Mus musculus: one gene and its partner. The protein of the gene in region 1 purifies or fractionates together with the protein of each later gene. This does not show direct contact. Links are inferred from orthologs where the notes say so. Each region holds a gene or a part of one and is shown on either strand. Other genes may lie near its edges.

The links.
Region 2: the proteins of Hnf1a (region 1) and Pcbd2 purify together in Homo sapiens (affinity purification with mass spectrometry; 4 studies listed by BioGRID and IntAct, with this or other methods). This does not show direct contact. The link is inferred for Mus musculus from reciprocal best matches to the Homo sapiens genes HNF1A and PCBD2.

The regions. Positions count from the first base shown.
Region 1 is NC_000071.6:114,967,487-114,974,063, reverse strand, and holds the start of Hnf1a (hepatocyte nuclear factor 1-alpha), read left to right. Parts: upstream 1-3,001; 5' UTR 3,002-3,219; coding exon 3,220-3,545; intron 3,546-4,026; exon of another isoform or gene 4,027-5,321; intron 5,322-6,577. UniProt on the Homo sapiens protein: Transcriptional activator that regulates the tissue specific expression of multiple genes, especially in pancreatic islet cells and in liver. Binds to the inverted palindrome 5'-GTTAATNATTAAC-3'.
Region 2 is NC_000079.6:55,725,273-55,731,817, forward strand, and holds the start of Pcbd2 (pterin-4-alpha-carbinolamine dehydratase 2), read left to right. Parts: upstream 1-2,095; 5' UTR 2,096-2,100; coding exon 2,101-2,202; intron 2,203-6,545. Other genes in the region: Txndc15 (thioredoxin domain-containing protein 15 precursor), read left to right, coding at 395-591.

The DNA of each region.
Region 1 (6,577 bases):
CTGACCTTCTTGTCTAATGACTCTAGCTTGTGTCAAGTTGACATCAAACTAGCCAGCCCAATGAATTAAACAATAATATAATTTAAAATTAATTATAATTAAGTGTAATATAATATTATAACTATAATAATGCAATAATATGTATATATAATTATATATAATAATTATAATAAAATTTCATTTTAGTGAAATACCATGCAAATTGCTTTAAATTGTAACTTAGTTATTTTTTTTCTAATTTATTTCTTTTCATCTTAAGTGAGTTAGTGTTTTGCTTGCGTGTGTATGACTGAATGAGGGCGTTGAATTCCCTGGAACAGGAGTTACAAAGAGTTGCGAGCCACCATGTAGCTGAGGAATTGAACCTGGGTCGGTCCTCTGATAGAGCAGCCAGTGCTCTTAACTGCTAAGCCATCTCTCCAGCCCTGACTTCGTTATTTTTTTAAATGTGTGTGCTGGGGACAGAATTTATGTGTGCCAGGGACGTGCTCTACTAGTGAGCTATGTCTCTAGCCCCTTTAACGTTTCATCTTATTTCTATCTTAAAATTTAACACCGTTTGTCAAAAATAACACCCTTTCACACAAGACATTTCAAAATTTCTTGATAGCCACATGTGGTTGGTGGCACGATTGTTGGTAGCCACATATGGCCTTTGCTGAGAACGAGCACCTTACATGGAAAGGGACTTGTGGGGGAAGGGGGCGTGGTCGCCTGTCACATGCTTGGCTCTCTCACTGCATTCTTGCCCGCTGCTGGCCTGGAGGTTGTGGTCTCCTCCTTTGCCTCCCCCCCACTGCAAAACTTGACCCTGGCTCCAAAGAACCTTGAAGATTCTGGAAACTGCCGAGATTAGGGGCAGCTCTCTCCACCAGGTAAAGGACATGGGGGAAGATAAGGGCCAAGCTCCCTGGGGCCCCGCCAGGATGAGGGAAGGATGGACCTGTTCCTAATGGAAATGTGACACTTTACTTACAGTGGTTTTTTTTTGTTTTGTTTTGTTTTGTTTTTAATTTTTTTGGTTTTCCAAGACAGGGTTTCTCTGTATAGACCTGGCTGTCCTAGAACTCACTTTGTAGACCAGGCTGGCCTCCAACTCAGAAATCTGCCTGCCTCTGCATCCGGAGTGCTGGGATTAAAGGCGTGTGCCACCACGCCTGGCCAGTGTTTTTAATGAGCAATTAATTTATAATATGTAGCTCAGGCTGGCCCAGAACTCCTTGTCCATGTGATATATTTCTTTTGGTATTTTGTTTATTTGTTTTTGTTTTTGTTTCTCTTTTGTTTTGCTTTTCAAGACAGGGTATAGCCCTGGCTGTCCTGGAACTCACTCTGTAGACCAGGCTGGCCTCAAACTCAGAAATCTGCCTGCCTCTGCCTCCCAAGTGCTGGGATTAAAGGTGTGCGCCATCACCGCCTGGTGACGTATTTCTTACATGAATGAGGATCGAAAGCACATATTCACATAAAAAAGTGCATGTGGATGTTTCTAGAAGCCTTGCTCACTGCAGCTAAAACGTGGGCGGAACATAGGTAATTAGCTGTCTATGGATGCACCGGAAAGTGCCTGGTCTCCTTGCAAAAGTTCCCCACCCACCATTCACTATCGAGGGGATAAAATGAGATCTGCGCTCTGGATGGAGTGAACTTCCGGCCTCCATGACTGCCAGAGGCGGGGCTAGAGACCTGCATAGGAATGGGCTGCTCAGGAGAACAGTTTCTTTAGGATGATGAAAGTGTTTTAAATTGATCGATTGGTGCGCTGCATGCTGGGATATGCTTATGGCTGCTAACAGCTGCTGCATTTCAAAAGGCAAGAGGGCTGGGCAGGTGACAAGTCAGACTGCCTGGGTTCCACAGAGTGGAAGAGAGAGATAGCTGATTCCTGCAGTTGTTCCCCGACCTCCACACCCAAGCTGTCACACATACACACACTCTCGGGAACACACACACACACACAAAAAGATTTAAAAAATATATAAATGCTTTCATTAGGTAATACTGACAAAAGTAATACTTGAGAAAAATTAAAATGGTGTATTTGGGGCTGGGGTTCTGGCTCTTGGTAGAGCCCTTGCCTTGAGTATACAAGGCCCTGGGTTTGACCCCAGCAAGACTAAAAACTGGCTGTGGTACGGGTCTGTAATTCCAGCACTTGGGAGCTAGAGGTAGGAAAATCAGGAGTTCAAGGTCAGCCTGAACTACATCGTAAGACTGTCTCAAACAAACAAACAAACAAACAAACAAAAAACCCCAATACATATGTGTGCGTGCACAGACACAGAGAGATACACACACATACACACACACATAGATTAGATATACACACACATAAAATTAGATACACAGACACATACAAGACACAGAGACATACACAAACATAGATTAGTTATACACACACATATAGATTAGATACACAGATACACACAGACACACACACACACACAGACACACACACACAGGACACACACACACACACACGTTCTGGTTCGGATCACACAATGATAGGATGCAATACATTATAACCCAGTATCCTCAACACAGAAGTCTGAAGTGCTAAGACAACAGGGGTTTTTCCCCCCCTGGGAAGTCTGATGTTGGGCTAGGACTGAGGGTGCAGTGACCCACTCCAGGAAATGTGACCTGATTCTGCCCTGGAGAACCGGCCCAGTGGCCCAGAGCTTCCTGCTGTCCCAGCGGCCCAAAGAAACAGGCTTTTAAAGTTCTCCTGTGCCAGGCTGAAAGCATCCTGGAGAGTGGGACCCAGCGCCGCACCCAGAGGCCTCCTGGCTCCTGCTGCCTCTAGCCCTGCGCCCCTGGCCCCTCTCCACCTCCCCCACCCTCCCTTCTGCTCACTCCCAATTGCAGGCCATGACTCCCGGTCCCGGTCCCTCTCACCCGCCATGAGGCCTGCACTTGCAAGGCTGAAGTCCAAAGTTCAGTCCCTTCGCTAAGCGCACGGATAAATATGAACCTTGGAGAATTTCCCCAGCTCCAATGTAAACAGAGCAGGCAGGGGCCCTGATTCACTGGCCGCTGGGGCCAGGGTTGGGGGCTGGGGGTGCCCACAGAGCTTGACTAGTGGGATTTGGGGGGGCAGTGGGTGCAGCGAGCCCGGTCCGTTGACTGCCAGCCTGCCGGCAGGTAGACACCGGCCGTGGGTGGGGGAGGCGGCTAGCTCAGTGGCCTTGGGCCGCGTGGCCTGGTGGCAGCGGAGCCATGGTTTCTAAGCTGAGCCAGCTGCAGACGGAGCTCCTGGCTGCCCTGCTCGAGTCTGGCCTGAGCAAAGAGGCCCTGATCCAGGCCTTGGGGGAGCCAGGGCCCTACCTGATGGTTGGAGAGGGTCCCCTGGACAAGGGGGAGTCCTGCGGTGGGAGTCGAGGGGACCTGACCGAGTTGCCTAATGGCCTTGGAGAAACGCGTGGCTCTGAAGATGACACGGATGACGATGGGGAAGACTTCGCGCCACCCATTCTGAAAGAGCTGGAGAACCTCAGCCCAGAGGAGGCAGCCCACCAGAAAGCCGTGGTGGAGTCACTTCTTCAGTAAGGACCCCAACCTGTCCCCAGCACCCAGGAAGGAACTCATAGCGCCCCATTCTATGCTCCTGGCAAGCTTCACTTCCCGTCTAGGGGGCCTTAGGAGCTGTGGTCTTCAGGCTGGTGGTTAAGGGCTTCTTGCCGAACCTACCCCTCTGTTTGGCCCTACATACCCCGTATCCGTGGGCCACCTGTTTGCAGTCCGGCCTTTAGGAAACAGGGACAGGCCTGAGGTCACTTTGAAACAGAGGACAAAGGAAAGCCAGCCCCAAGAAAATGGTTGGAGAACTAGTGGGTGGTAGAAATCCTTCCCCAGTGTGGTCGTTTGTGCTCCCACAAATTCCACCTTCTTGGCTGGGGGGGGGGTCAGATCCAGGTTTGGGGCCCCAAAAGCCCCTGAGGAGGCCGGGCTGATGTTGGGCTTTTAGGGGATTTCCTGATCCGCCAGGGCCTTAAGCATCTGGCAGGGTACGCTTGGGTTTCTTACCTGGGGCAGATGGAGCTGAAGGTGGCAGTTTCCCTGCATGGCCAGGTGCTGCTTGCCCCTGACCCCAGCCTGGTCAGATAGCAGGGTTAGAGGCCTCCCCATACCAGACCCCCCTCTTCTGTTGTCTGGCTCCCCATCTCCTGGAGTGCTGAGTGGGTCCCGATTTCAATGCCTCCCCCGTCTCTCTCCTCAGCAAAGCCGTTCTGGTTACTAATTACCCACGCACGCCATTATTTCTTTTGTTTTATAAATTTATAAATAGCAAAAGGCTCTGATAAGGCCTGTGATCATTAACTTGTCGGGACGGTGGCGGGGAGATGCCCATTTGGGGGTGGAGAACGAACAGGAACACCAAAGTGAGGGAAAGGTAGCTTGGGGGCTGTGGGGAGTACTACCACCCCCAATTCCCCAAGCCTCCACAGTTTCCCTGAGATTATCGCCCGGCACGCTATTTTCTGTAGGGATTTCTGCTGTGCCTAAATCCCCATAATATAGAGATAACCGCCCCCCCAGAAGGAAGTGGTTAATAAACACGCTTTACAGTAGGGAAACTGAGGCTTAGACAGGGAAGGCGCCGTGGAGGGGCCTGAGGGCTGGCTGAGGAGTTTGGGGACAGTCTCACAAGAATACTCCAGAGGCAGCCTTTTTTCTGTCCAAGGTCCTGATTCTGACTTGGGGTGGGGGAGGGCTGGTGGATCCCGGCATTTCTGGAAGTGTCCAGAAGCCTCCCTGGGCCTTGGGCAAGGGGCAGAGGAGCAGTCAGGCCCCCTGACTTGGCAGAAAGTGGAGGGCAAAGGGCTGCCTCACCGCAGGGGAGGGGCAAAGGGCCGAGTATTGCCAGAACCAGGGCACAAGAAACCTGGATAGGGTGGAGCTGGGCCTGACCTGTCTTGGGGCCCCAGGTGGGGCTAGGGGCTTAATATGAGGCTGAGGGGCCAGGGATGCCAAGGGTCTTCTTACCTGGCTAGGTGGGACCTCTTGATCAGCAGCCCTCACGGTGGGGGCAGTGGGGGCTGGAGGGGAGCCTGGTCCAAAGCAGCTGGAACAGAGGTCAAAGTGCTCCCTGCAGGGGAACAGGCAGAATCCTGGAGGCAGAGGGGACAGGGGCGGTGAGGAGGATGAGATGGGAGAAGAGGGCTGGGGGAGTTGGGAGGGCAGAGGAGCCAGGAAAAGAGAGGGTCTCTCAGCAGCTGGGAGAAAGGGGCAGGGGAGAGAGGCTGAGCGGGGAGGAGGCTAGAGTGCTGTCCCTCCCAGGTTGCTTTTCTTTAATGCTAACAGCGAGCTATTTGCTTTCCATTTAAATTCGAGATGTTGCTATAAATTATCAACCAGCTCCTTGTTCCTGCGGAGTTTATAACTAACTACCCGGGTTACTTATTGTTCAGGTAACAAAGGGGACCTGAAAATGTCCCCAGGGACAAAAAGTGGGGCCTCTAGTTTCAGGACCAGGGGTGGGGGTGGGGGGGACCCTCTGGGGAGAGGGCTGGAGGACCCCCATGAGGGCCTGGCTAGTGGGGAAGTTGAGGCTGGAAGAGGCGGTGGGAAGGACTAACTCCCCACGGGAACTGTTGATTCCAAGGTCTACCTTTGGGAGAGGGAGAGGTGGGTCTGGGGTCTCGGATCCCACCCCCACCCCTTTTGCATCATGTGTGAGGCCACGGCAGACACCTCAGCTCTCCTCGCAGAGCTCCATCCTTTATCTAGTGTGTGACCTTGGGCAAGACCCTTTTCTCCCCCTGCACCAATGCCAGCAGGTAGACAGAGTAAAGGCAAATTCTCTATCTTAGTTCTAGTTCTGTGACTTCCCCTCCCCCCAGCTTCCCTAGTTCGATCCATCTATCGCTCCTTATCCCCTCTTTTGCGCCCTGATGCTGGCTTTGCCGGTTCTGGATGCGCACACACTTTGGTTTCCGCCTAGCATTGCCTACCTTAGTCTTTCTGCTCGGGCGGGACCCCTTTCTCACTTCCTCCTTGGCTCTTAGCTCCTTGGCTTCTGTCTCTGCATGAGGGCTGAACCCCAGCTCCCCTTTGCTGTTTCTGCCTGCTTTCTTCTGACCACTAATTGTCTCGTTACTTTATCTGTCTCTGTGTTCATTCCTTGTCCCCTGGTGTGAAAACATCTTGAGGGAAAAGTTTGTGATGTCACCACATACCAGGCATGAGTGAGCGAGAGCCTAAACTTCCCCTCGCACACCTCCTACTCCTCCCTGGGGAAGCACTTGGGACCCAGAGTCCTATCCTGGATGCCCTTGCAGGACCTTCCTATCCACCAACTGCTTAAACCCCAACCGTGCTGTTTCCTGATGCCCTCAGCCCCAGCCAAGCAGCCTCAGGGTTCTCCCAGCCAGGAACTCAGCAGCCAGGTGGCAGGCAGGATGCTTCAGCGGACAGTGGCTTGCCTTGGTTCCCACGCCAGCTTTGCAGCCAGTTAGGTGGGCACTGTCCCTGAGTCCCAGTTTCTTCTGCAGAATGGTGAAGACAGCACTCAGCCACAGGTTCAAGAGCATGGCACACAGCTAAGCAGGATCACATTTGAATGGTCCCATTTTAC
Region 2 (6,545 bases), on another chromosome or scaffold:
TCTTTGATCACTGTCCAGTGGTGGGTAACTGTCTTCCATGAACTCATTTAAAGGCATCTTGATAACCTGTGGGAACTTCTGAGAGTAGCTTTATTTTGTTGAACTTTGGTCTTAAGAGAACAGAAGGTGACTCTTAAGAGTACATTGACCAGAAAAGCTCCAAGGAGTCAGAAATTCTAGAGTTTTAGCTTTGAAAGGCTGGAAGGATTCCCGATCCTTTGATGTGGTGGGAGGAAAGAAAATCACACTGACACACAAGTGAAATCCTTCCAAGATATGCTTGAGATGGTGTTTATTTTAGGGTCGCTTGTCATTTTGCATGCCGTGCATCATACTTCAGACAAGCCTCAGATGTGTTTTCTTTCTGATTTGAAACAATTAATTTCTCTTTCAGGTATAGAAGCCAAGAAAAATGTGGTGGTAACGCAGGCTGACCAGATGGGCCCTCTCCCCAGCACTTTGATAAAGACTGTGGATTGGTTGCTGGTGTTTTCCTTGTTCTTTTTAATTAGTTTCATTATGTATGCTACCATCCGCACTGAGAGTATTCGGTGGCTGATTCCAGGACAAGAACAGGAACACGCAGAGTAAAGACAGAACTGAACTGGAACAAGAGGGGTCTCAGCCCCTCCTTTGTGGACTTAGCATTACAGTCGCTAAATGTGTGGACTTGCAACGGAAATCAGATTCAAGAATCATGTTCTTGTTGGACTACTGAAAAGCTGAAAAGATTTCATATAAATGTGTTTTTCCTATGACAACTAGCAGGTACAAAAATGTCCACTAGAATTGACTGTTGTTGCTTTTTAATACTTGAACATAATGAATTTCTTTTCTAGTGTCGTCAAACAGGAAAGTGTTGTCTCAGAAGAGGAGCTAAGATGGGAAGTATGGGCTAGGACGGGAAGTGCAGGTCTACTACAGGACCAGGTGAAAAATAAAGTCACTGAAACAATTCAAAGTGGTTTCGCTTGTTTCTGGGAATGGCAGACTTTAGGAGAAACTCCTAATTCTAATTAAAACATGTTAATTCTGTGCTAGAGCACAGACATTGCCCAGTCATATACTAGCACACAGCTAGATTGAGATCCAAAGGAAGTTAAGAACCCTGTCCTTGCCTGGAGGTTGAGTCTGGTCTAGTTTAGGACACAGCAAAGAGATGACATGGGCCGCTGAGATGGCTTAGCAGATAAAGGTGCTTGTCACCAAGTGTGAAGATCTGAGTTCGATCCCTGTGTTCCACACGGTGGGAGGAGAGAACTGGCAAATTGGTAATATTAATGTGCTAATTTAGAAAAACTAACAGGATAGTGCATGGTGACACGTCCAAAATCCCCAGCTTCTGGGAGGTGGAGATGGATGTTCCAGGCCAGCCTCTGCAACTCTACCTGGCTTCATGAAACTGTCTCAGGAAAGGAATACAACAAAGTTACCTAGTAAAAAAACCAAAATGAGGGGGCTGGAGAGATGATTCAGTGGTTAAGAGCACTGACTGCTGAGTTCAAGTCCCAGCAACCACATGGTGGCTGGCTCAAAACCATTTGTCATAAGATCTGACGCCCTCTTCTGGTGTGTCTGAAGATAGCTACAGTGTACTTACATATAATAAATAAATAAATCTTTAAAAAAAAAAAAAAAAACAAACCCAAAACCAAAAAGATACAAATCGAGCTAAAAGCTGCAACATTTTACTCAAAACTCAGCACTAAGTTAAGCCCCGCCCCTACCCCCCCCACCCAGCATGGGTTTTAAAATGAATTTTATTGTCAGTTACATCGCAAGAAAAAAAATGACAAAAGAATAATAAAGATCAATATACACACATAGGACCTGCATGTAAGGGAACAGAGTTGTCTCCACCCGTCCTGGGTGGGTAATGCACTTGTGCATGCAGCATGGTCGAGCTGCAGAGAGGAGCGAGCTCAGCGCGGCGTTCCGGGTCGCGGCAGCCGGGTCTTTAAGCCCTGAGCACAGCAGCGGTGGCCCGGCGCGCAGAGGGCGCTCGGTCTGCAAAGAGTTCCCGCGGGCGCGGCGGCCATCCCCTTCGGGGGCCTTCGGTGCCTGCGCCGCGTCAGGCAGCACGCCGGGCAGCCCGGGACCATGGTGGCGGCAGCGGCGGTGGCTGTAGCGGCGGTGGGAGCGCGTAGCGCGGGGCGGTGGCTGGCGGCGCTGCGCAGCCCGGGCGCGAGCAGGGCGGCCATGGTGAGTGCGGCCCGGGCGAGCCACCGGGCCTTCGTTCCTTCTGCTGCGTGGGGGCGACTGCGCGCGCAGACCCGCAGCTCACACGCCATAGCCCCCGCGCGGGGGAGGACGAGGCTGGGAGACATCCGTGAGTTCGAGACCAGCCAGGGCTCCGTAGTGGACCCTGCCTCAAACAAAACAGAACACCCAGACAGCTTCTGCCGTAGTTTTTGAGCGTGCTCACCGGAAACATTATCGTGGGAAAAAACAAATCCAAATGTGACGTTTAGTTGCGAAGCCATTCTGTGGGCTGCGAGCAGTCCTGGGGTGACCAGGACCTAAGTGACCAGCTAACCGTGTTGTTCTTGGTCAGGGGGCTTTAGAAGAGTTAGTAACCCCTCCACGCCCTTTTCCCGTTTTTGAAGGGCACATCGATTTTTTTTTCCCTCACCACTTTTAAAGAGGACATTTCGTTTTCTTACTCTGTCAGATTTTAGAATTTTGCCTGTGCGTTGCGGCTTGTAATTCTTACATCTGGCGAGGCTGAGGCAGGAGGATTACGGCGCAGCCGGCGAGGAGTGCTGGGAGACCGTCTGAGGTGTACTTTGAGAGTGTGAGGGGTAGAGGGGAGAGAGAGTTAGCCGAGGGTAAGTTTTTTTTAACACGCAGCTCCATCTAGTGGAAAATGCAGCATGAAACTCACCGTTTCCTTTACGGGCGCTCACTAGAGCCTATTTGACAACGTTTTTATGAAGAACTCGTAGACATAATTTATTTTCCTGTAAAATTTCTATAATGAATTTCCCCAAATAAATATTTTTCTTATATTACACAGTAGAATTGTTGAAGTCAGAAAATTATGCTGATAACGTCCATTGTTTTTGACTAATGACTTTAGAGATTTTTTTGTTTCCTGGTGTAATCCAGGACTAGTCATTGCATTTGGTTAACATTTTAAAAATTAATTTAATTAAAATAATTTTCATACAGATGTATTCAGGTACACTAAACTCTGCTCCCTTTCCTACCTGATTCTTTTCTTCCAATAAAAGAAGGAATGACATTTCATTTTGCTTTGTTTTTAATGGATGAGTTTCTTGTAGCTAAGGCCGACCTTGAACTCAGATACATTCCTGCTTCCACCTCCCAAGTCCTGAGAACACAAGCCTGTGCCACCACCCTCGATGTGAAATTGCTTTACTATAAAACATGTAAACTAGCTCAGATTTCTGTACAACTCGATTGCTGCAACCTAGGTGAGTTTTAGGGCCTGCTCCTGCCTAAGGTGCTGGTGACCTTACAAAACCATGGTGCCTGGGAAGGAATGAGTAGACAGATTGATTGGAATGGCTGCTGTGTGTCAGAGTCTGTTTTGGGCACCATCACATTTACGACCTTTCCCCCTCCTTTCAGCTCTTCCTCCCTTCCTCATCCCTGTCTTTCCTTCCACCTAATAATGGGGATGTAGACCAAGCTGGCCTTAAACACAGAAATCCCCCTGCCTCTTTCTCCTGAGAACTGAGACTAAAGCATATACTACTGTGCTTAGTGAAAGATCTCTCTCTCTTTTTTTAAAGATGTATTTATTATTATATATAAGTACACTGTAGCTGTCTTCAGATGAGCCAGAAGAGGGCATCAGGTCTCATTATGGGTGGTTGTGAGCCACCATGTGGTTGCTGGGATTTGAACTCAGGACCTTCAGAAGAGCAGTCAGTGCTCTTACCCGCTGAGCCATCTCACCAGCCCCGTGAAAGATCTCTTTAAGTCTTTCAAAGACCAAATATTTCATCCAAGCATTCAGGAGAAAGAAGCAGGTGGATCTGTGAGTTCGAGGCCAGCCCGGTCTACAGAGAGAGCTCCAGGACAGCCAGGGCTACACAGAGAAACCCTGTCTCGAAAAACAAAATAAAACAAAACAAAATAAAACAAAACAAAAAAACCTAACCCACCAACCAACCAAACCATTTCTTAGCATTTCGATACTGTCCAACCCTGTATAGACTCAAGGAACCTGGAAGCCAGAGAGGCCAAGCTTAGCATGCAACAGTAATAAGTTAGAAAGCCAATCGCTTACACTGTCTACCTCCTGTGGTTCCTTACATCTCCCTCCATGTCTGTGAAAAGCATTCCCAGACTGTTACAAAGGACTGTGCTGGAGGCTGGAAAGATGGCCTAGCAGTCAAGAGCACTGGCTGCTCTTGCAGAGGACCTGGGTTCCATTCCAGTACCAACACGGTGGCTCACAACCATCTGTAACTTCAGTACCAGGGAGTCTGATGTCCTCTTCTGGCCTCTATCAGCAACACAGTGCATATATATGCCCAGGCAAAACACATAAAATAGAAGTAAATAACTCTTTAGAAGATAAAACAGTTAACAAACAAGCAAGCAAAGGGTTCTGTTGAAGGCACGTCTTTGCAGGGCCCTTGGTGTTATGTAGCCGAAGCGGCCCCATTCCAGTCCTTTCCACGATCCCTGTTGTTGGGTGGACATCCTGTATGAGTGAGCCTGCATACTTTGATCTCCATAAGCTTGTGGATAGCCTAGCATCAGAGAAAAACAGTGCCTTCTAGAGCCTCTGGATCACACAGCACAGTCCATTCTACAATCTCTGGATGACCACAGCATAGTCTATTCTAGAACCTTTGGATCACCACAGCACAGTCCATTCTAGAGCCTCTGGATGATCACGGCATAGTCCATTCTAGAGCCTCTGGATGATCACGGCATAGTCTATTCTACAGTCTCTGGATGATCACGGCAGTCTATTCTATGGCCTCTGGATGACCACAGTACGGTCCATTCTACGGCCTCTGAATAACATTGGCATAGCCCATAGTGTGCTTCATGGTTTTCCTTGATGTCAGATCCCTGTGAAAATCTAACAGTTGTTTCTTTCCTGAAATGCTCTGAGTGGCCTTAAGTAGTTAAGTGATAGACAGGTGGGAGTGTTTTCTATAGTCGACCCCTGTGTGGAAAATATCCGAACTCCGTGGGTTTGGTGGTGTTTATCTATGATTCTAGTACTGAGGAGGCTGAGGCAGGGTGAAACCTGGGCTAGTGAGAACTTACCACGGCTACCCAGCCAAAGACACACGCACACACACACACACACACACACACACACACACACACACACACAGAGAGAGAGAGAGAGAGAGAGAGAGAGAGAGAGAGAACTCAGAACTTTTCTTTTTCTTTCTTTCTTTTCTTTTTTTTTTTTTTGAGACAAGATTTCTTTGTGTAGCCCTGGCTGTACTAGAACTTGATATGTAGACCAGGCTGGCCTCAAACTCAGAGAGCCACCTGCCTCTTTCTTCTGAAAGCTGGGATTAAAGGCGTGTGCCACCACGCCTGGCTCTTAATTCTGAACATTAAGTGCTTATTTTGGATTCCAGGCCTTTGAATGTTTTTGCTTACGATCCATTGTCATTCTTCCCTTTGTAGTGGGAGGCAATAGCTGCTGAATCAGGGAGAACAAACTAGAAAACGGGCGTTGGCACAGGACAAGTTTTTGTGCCTTGACGGTTTTAATGTCTGTGATCAGAAGTTTGAGGAGTCCAGAAGCAGAAGTGAGTTGCAGCTTCATATATGGAATCTGGAGCATGCAGCTCTGTCTTCCACCCCCAGGGCCTTCGGCATTAGCTCAGTCTTTTCAGAGAGAGTCTAGATGAGAATGTCTAACTGGGCTGGGCAGTGGTGATGCACACCTTTAATCCCAGCACTCGGGAGGCAGAGGCAGGTAGATTTCTGAGTTCGAGGCCAGCCTGGTCTACAAAGTGAGTTCCAGGACAGCCAGGGCTACACAGAGAAACCCTGTCTCGAAAACCCAAAAAACCAACCAACCTCCCACCCCCTCACTCGCCCCCCCCCAAAAAAAAAAGAATGTCTAACTGGAGCTTGGTAGCTGCCCTGTAAGGAGCTGAGGCTCTTAAGCTGGAATGAGAAGCTGTGTTCACAGTTTATAGTAGTGTGTCTATGGTGTTCAGTGTTTTAAGTTAGCTATGAAAGACACTGGTCAAATGGCCAAAGGTCTGAGTGGTGACTACCAGAAATGAGTGAGGAATGAGGGGACAGTGCAGGCAGGTACCGTGGATGCTCTGGCTGGTCCGGTGACACACAGAGGGAGTTTGTTTTACAGGTGCTTTTAACAGCAAGGCAAAGCCTTTTTGCCTGTGGTAGAGGGGCTGTGGACTCCAGAGGCTCTTACACGAAATTTCATGGATGTATATGCTTGGTCCCCCCCACCTCCCATAGAAGGTTTTCATTATATATGAGAGAGAGTAGATGGGCTGGAGAAATGGCTCAGGGGTTAAGAGCACTGACTGATCTTCCAGAGGTCCTGAGTTCAATTCCCAGCA